2 linked regions of the Tribolium castaneum genome follow. The main gene of each other region encodes a partner of the protein of the gene in region 2 in a complex. Links are inferred from orthologs where the notes say so. Each region holds a gene or a part of one and is shown on either strand. Other genes may lie near its edges.

What was found.
Region 1: Tfb4 (region 2) and TfIIB share a complex: the UniProt entries of both Homo sapiens proteins name them as parts of the TFIID-containing RNA polymerase II pre-initiation complex. The link is inferred for Tribolium castaneum from reciprocal best matches to the Homo sapiens genes GTF2H3 and GTF2B.

What each region holds. Positions count from the first base shown.
Region 1 is NC_087398.1:13,752,185-13,755,944, reverse strand, and holds the start of TfIIB (transcription initiation factor IIB), read right to left. Parts: upstream 2,565-3,760; 5' UTR 2,433-2,564; coding exon 2,416-2,432; intron 2,343-2,415; coding exon 2,232-2,342; intron 2,177-2,231; coding exon 2,043-2,176; intron 1-2,042. UniProt on the Homo sapiens protein: General transcription factor that plays a role in transcription initiation by RNA polymerase II (Pol II). Involved in the pre-initiation complex (PIC) formation and Pol II recruitment at promoter DNA.
Region 2 is NC_087395.1:24,750,919-24,754,099, forward strand, and holds Tfb4 (general transcription factor IIH subunit 3), read right to left. Parts: upstream 1,959-3,181; 5' UTR 1,783-1,958; coding exon 1,556-1,782; intron 1,509-1,555; coding exon 1,070-1,508; intron 934-1,069; coding exon 735-933; intron 686-734; coding exon 649-685; intron 600-648; coding exon 536-599; 3' UTR 516-535; downstream 1-515. Other genes in the region: Zip99C (zinc transporter ZIP13 homolog), read left to right, coding at 1-143; Cdk12 (cyclin-dependent kinase 12), read right to left, coding at 2,355-2,582, 2,626-2,911. UniProt on the Homo sapiens protein: Component of the general transcription and DNA repair factor IIH (TFIIH) core complex, which is involved in general and transcription-coupled nucleotide excision repair (NER) of damaged DNA and, when complexed to CAK, in RNA transcription by RNA polymerase II.

The DNA of each region.
Region 1 (3,760 bases), on a different chromosome or scaffold from region 2:
GAAAAAAATTAAAAGACAAACTGTGATAAGTTTTGTTGTCCAGTCAAAATAAATAAATCAAAATTTTGGGAAAAAGCTTGCATCTTTCTATACATATAAGTTAAAAACGTTTTGAAAATCAAAAACAAAGTATGTTTTAGCAGCCATTCCATTTTAACGGACGGGACACTTCACATGGTTTCTATTTCATTTTCAGTTTTTATGAACAGTATCAGTAAAAGTGAATTTTTATTTATAGGAACTTAGTACCAGTTAAACGGTTTGCAACCTACATAGGAGCCACATTTGTAAAAATTCAAATATGGACAGGAAAAAGAAACACAAATTGATGACGGACGGGACACAGAAAAGACCTCACATTTTTTTCGTTGAGCAATCATTATACAATTCTGTTAATTTAAAGTGCACTAATTCCAACAATTATCTTTGAAGTTAAAGGTGAATCTTTTGAAACCACGAAAACGAACAACAAGGTAATATGTTACAACTTCTAATTAATTTACTTTTTGTTTACACATATGGGGTAAAAAAATCTTGTGCATGCAAATAACTTTAAAAGTTATTCACACAGGTTTTACTTTATTGAAAGACTTTAACAATGACAAAATTAGCCAGTAGAAATTAAAAATTATTGGATGTGTTTCCCATCGTAAGAAATAAGAGCAACATTTATACAGAGTGTTCCGTTTTTATTGTTACGAATTTAAACAGATGATAGAACATTCAATTTTAAGACAAACGTTTCCTATAAACATGTATTGATAAGTACTTCGTAAGAAACCTACCCTACACACTCTGAAAAGGGTGCTCCCTCTATTAGTGGATTTTTCCCAATATTTCAAAAACTATTACAGATATCGAAATGATTCGTGACCAAAAGCTGATATGAAGTACAGTAATGTTTGAATAATTCGAACAGAAAATTTGCAGATTGCAAATAATATCAATAATCCCAACACGCGTTCGGTTTACAGTTACCTTACATAACCAAATAACCATGCAAATACATATCCCTACCACAAAAATTATACTCAGTGGCTATAAACACCGTTAAGTGTTTCAAAATAAAAAAATACAAAATTAAAATGTATTGCAAACAACTATCAAGAATTAAAATCAACATGTGGTATTTCGGATTACGAAATTCAAACGTTCGGATTGTAGGTACAATAAATACCGTTCGGGTTATTAGAGGGGGCTTGTTTAATTTTAACAGTTAAAAATCAAAATTTTCCCAATTTTTTTAAACTTCAAACCGATCACAAGAGGCAAGTATCCTGGTCAGCAATATTGCCAGTTAATAATCAAGAGTTGTCTAAATATTACTGGAATAGCTTCATTCCATTTCTATTCAATAGAGGTTTGTCTTATACAACAAAAAAACTTTCTTGCATCTCAAAAATTTCGATACACAAATATGCAACGTTACAAGAAAATGTATTTTTTTCGGGTTCCCTTTATAAATATTCAACTAAGTAACTACGTAAACATCCACATTAATTGAAAATTTTGTGAAAAAAAATTCTAGCTTTATCAAAAAGGAAGACACGAGGTTGTAAACTCAAGATTTGTCCAGTTTTAGGTTTGTGTAATTTTTTCGCTAAAACGTCTTTTTCATAATGAAAACAATTTCCAATACAAAAACGACCTTCGGATTACAACGCAGCAGAAAATTTTGCAAAATAATCAAATGTTTATAGTCACTTTTTAAAATTGTACAGATCATCCCTTTATATTTATTGCAACCACCCTAAACTCTGTTTATTTGAATAATGTCAAAAAATTCGGCAGAATATTAATATATAGAATTTTATGCTTTACAATTCTTATTAAAAACTTTTTTCCAAGTCATCGATTTTTTACAATCATTACGAAACATTTTATTCGTTTATTCGTTTTTTCAATACCTTCTCGTGATTCAAACAAAACGTTTTGAAATACTTCACAGTAGCACAGACAGTAACTTATTTCAAAAAGGTAAGCTTTTCACTAACATTTTAATTTAAAGGCTTATTTGAGTGGAATATTTAAATAAAACAAACCTCGACCGGGGCCTATCATTGTGGTCAGGTCTGAGCCGTTAAGAAGGGGGTTCTCGGGGCCACCAACACGAGAAGGATCGACCCCCGATTTTTCGTTGCTGAAGGTTCTCCATTCAGATCCAACGTCTATTACTCTACAATGATGCAAGCAAATAAACTTATGATGCGTTTTATTGATTTGAATATTACCTGTCACCTACTACTAAACCGCATTCGGAGCAAATCTGATCGCCTGCTCTGTAATCTTCAATAAGGGGGGCATCTGGATGAGAATTACAACAAACCTTATTCGTGTCATACCTGAAATATTATTTGAGGTTAACATCATTATTATTGAAATTGGAATCGTAACAAGTTATTTATGCTAAAATACCTTGAACTACTCGCCATCTTGTACAATTTTGCACTATTTCTTCTCTATTTATTGTTATTATGACAATTTTCAAGTTTTGACAAGTGTGATAGTTAATCGACACTGTACCGATAAAACAGGTTTCAGTCATTCGACTTCCAGTTTATTGGTAAAGCAGATTTCTGTTAAGAACGTACAGTAGCGACCTCAAAAGTAATAAACTGGCGCCAATTTCAAAGCAATATAAGCTGATTTAAAACGTTCGGGAAATCGGAACCATCTCTTGGGTAAGACAGTCACATCCAACTGACAAAACATTGTTTGTGTATTTTTTCACAACATACAGTTCTTCTCGAGTTAGATTTTTAAGTTGAAGTTTTGGCAATATTTTTTTTCAACTACTTCGACCAAGCTCAAAAAACCTTCGTAATGAGCTCGGAACGCAAATTTAATAATTTATTTTAGAATGAAATTATAGATTAGAATGTGATGACTAATTCGCGGTCTCTTATAGAAAGCAGTTGACTTTTTTTCATTAATTATTATATTTTTATGTAGTTTTATCCTTTCGAAGAGTGACTAAGCTTGTATCAAATTCTGTATTGGCTGCCCTAAGTTTTCGATTTTTTAAGAAATGGTGAAACCTGAGTTTCGAACTGTAAAGAAATATTTTTAAAATGTGTTAGGTTCTACATTAGCATAGTTAAAACTGTATTGCAAAGTTTCAATTGAGCCATACAGGTACAGGCCTTAGGAAACACCACGTCGAAAAAAGTTGAAAAGTGCTTCTCCTGCAGAAATAGTCAGAAAAATCCAAAGAACGGTATTGGAAGATTACAAATGAAAGTTGTATAAAATAGTTCAAACCTTGAGGATTTTAAAACACAAACATCATATCTTTTATCAGTTTTTAAGTATGAGAAAAAATTGGCAAAATGGGTGGCATATTGCTCCTTCTTTGAGCACAAAAGCTCACCGAAAAAAATCAGATATTTTCAATGCTTGGAGCTATTTTAACGCAATCCAATGGATTTTATGCGCCAATGTATAACAATTTAGCTTCAGTCTATTACTGGACTTAAAAAATATTACACTGGAAATAAGTATAAAACAAAGTTTGAAGAAATTACAGCTAAAAAAAGTTTTTTTGAAGAGTTACAAGAATCGGTCCACAAGGATAGTATAAAGATTTCGAAACATCAATTGACTATAAGTGCTAATAACTACAAGGAGATTATATTAAAAAGTAAAAAAAATCTCCTTTTTATGGGAGGCTACAAATAAAACATCCCATCTTTATACTAATTGGTCGTATTTTTAGTAAGGTATATAGTTTTGGCTTGGTTTTATACTTTTGCTCTCAGTA
Region 2 (3,181 bases):
CCGGGACGTTCCTCCACATCGCGCTGGTCACGGTCCTCCCGGATTTACTCAAAGAGGAGGACCCCCGGGAGTCACTCAAGCAGATCCTCGCCCTTATTGCAGGGATCAGTGTCATGGCCATCGTGACGACTTTAGTTGAGTGATAAGTGATAAGAATTCAGTTGCCATATTGTTGATAGTTTTGTTGTAAATTACAGTATTAGTTGTAATTTTTGTTTTCTTTAGGTAGGGCATTAAGCGAAAACCATATTTTTCCAGTTGTTAGCATCGTCTGATGGTAATCAGACTGAACTATTTTTGTGATATTAACATTTTTTCAACACAATATATTTTATTATTCTGTAGTACTTAAAGTGCTCTTATATATTTTATATCAAAATAAAACATGACTACGATGATATATTGTAAATAAAGAGCAAGAAACGACCTAGAAACTATTAATACCAGACCCGTCTGACCTCATTCCAATCAAAACAATGCGCATTTATCATTATCAAGGGTAATAATAAAACAAATTCAACAAAAAAAATTTTTATTACAACTTGATTTTCCGCTTTTTCGGCTTCACAGCTAACGGTCCTGGGATTTTGAAGACAGTACTGGAAAAAAAAATTAGTCCACGAATAACACAATTTTGAAAAAACATACTGACAAGTCGTACAAATCGGGCTAAACTTGCAGAAAACTGTAACAAAAATCATTAGCTGGGGCTTAAACCGGCCCACTTCACTCACTTGACAAACACACCGAACAGACGTAACCTATATCAATTAACTCCCGGTGGCAGAAACAAGCCGCCCTGTAGTCAACCTTGACAGGGGGCGGAAGCACCAATTTTTGCCGAATAGGCGGCTCAGGCAAAAACACCCACTGGAAATAATTCAAGGTTGGCAACGCTGGCAATGGATTTTTCACACGCCAGTGTTTCCACGTCTAGTAAAATATCACCAAATCTGGTGATTTATTTCTTAAAATGCGAACATTTAGCAAACATTTAATAGAATTATTTATTATTTCAAATAAAAAATCGCAAAAATGAGGAAATTAAGTAAAAAAAAACAAAACTTACGAGAAGATATTGTAACAGGCCTTGCAGTTGCGGGACTTTCAAGTACAGCCCCCCTGTGATATCGCAGCCTTGCTGCAGCAGACTCAAATGTTGGTCAAGGGCGCACACATCAATCACAATTCCCTGTTTTTGCGCCGTGAAAAAAACGTTCATATAATTCATATACTGCGAGGCGGAGTCTCCGCTCCCCGTCACCACCAAAATGCGGCTGTTTAGGACACACCCGGGGGGCTTCGTCCGCTGGATCCGCGCAATGTAACACAGGGCCATAGCGATCGCCCCTGCGAGCAGTGACTCCGTCACAAGAGTTGATTTTTCGGTGGCCAGCAATTTGGCCAAGTTCTGCTTGATTGTTTTCTCCACTGCCGTGAAAACCTCGTACTGGCCGTCGATTTGGCGCACGTCGAGGGGCTTGTTGGGGCCCGGGTAGATGAACTCGCTGGAGTTTAGGGGTAAAGACAGTGGGGTGGTTATGGGGGCACGTACCTGGTCTTGGAGTGGCAAGCCATCACGGCGAGCTTGTTTTGCGCCTTTTGCATTAAATGAGAGTTGGCGAACGCTATGACTGAGTCTATGCAGTGGGTGAGGACGTGGGGGTTGTCTCGGAGCATCTTCTGGCTGGGGTTACTGTCGACGATTACCACCAGGAGACTAGTCTCGCTGGTTGAGGTGAATTCGGGGGCCGAATCGGCCGGGATCTCCAAATTATTCATTGTTTATGTGCGGTTTAAAAGTGGGGTTATATGGGAATTGAGTGACGTAACTTGAGACACTTCCCGGCATTGGGGCCAGAAAGTTATGCAATATTTTTTTCCCCAATTTCCTTAATAATGACTAAGCACGGAAGTATTGGATCATGTGGTTTTTAACGCAAGTTATTGTACTGCTTGCCCAATTTATGTTAATCGTGTTCGGGATTTGTAACCGCAAGCACAACTAGTCACGTGACCAGTTTTTACTTTCAAAGTGGTTTCAAAATTCGAATTTATTTTTCCTGTAGAAGTGCCGCCGGGCGTTTGGTGCAGCAAAGGTGAGTAATTCCGGGTTCAGGGGTGTGGGTTGCATGTTTGGGGTGCATTTGCGCTTTATAATTTGTCCATTTTCAAATTTTGTCAAAAGTAAGGTTACGGGGGGCCGCCAAATTCAATTCAGTCAGGTAATAGTCATTTACTCATCGATAAATGTACAATTTGACAGTATCTGCTAAAATATGTAATATTTTTGCCACATACATGAGGTTCGTGAACGAAACTGGCAAAATATAAAATTTTTACAAAATTAAGGCTTACAAAATCTTCTTTAAAACATTGGGCCCCAAAACCAGCCCGAAATGTTTCATCAATTCGGTCAAACTTTTCACGACGATGTCGGTATTTAAGGACACTCCCGGACTGTGTTCCCCCTCATCCTCGATTCGCAGTTGCAGTAAATGCGTGGCTGAGGGGTTGTTTTTGCAAATTTGTCGCAACTCGGTTTGGAGTGTCTCCAAGTACGCGATGGTCTGTTGATCCACCTGCAAAAAGCGGTGAATTTTGGTACAAAAGGGGCTGCCGCACCTGTGCCTGCTTCGTTGCGCAAATTTCCATCAGTTGGGGCAACTGTACCGCAGTTTTGTTGACGATTTGCTGCTCAACGGTGCAGAGAAGCTGGTAGAGATAGTTGCGGTTCTCGTCCGTTTCCTGGTGACGCGTGGGGGGCGTGAGCGACTCGCCGTCGGGGATTCTCGGGGGCAACATGGGGGCTATCCCCAGCAGGCCGGGCTTGATTTTCGTGGCCGCGGTCGCGAGCGCGTACGAGAGCACAGCCGCGTCGTAAGCCTCCATTTTTAGCACTTTTGACGAACTGGAATGTGAAATAATCAAATAGCCCAGGTTTAAAATATACGGAATGAATCTGCTAAAAGTTTATTTTTTCGATATCTCATCTGCCAAATTCAGAGTCCATTTAAACATTGTTATTTTAAAATTATCAAAAGAAATATAAAAAAAAATTTTTTCAGGCTCGTAATTACATATTAAGTAAACCCTCATTTTTGTGTAATTATTAATTTTTGAAATACAGTAAAAATACTTCCAGCAGACTCACCTTGTTTAGGTATTTTTACTTAAAATC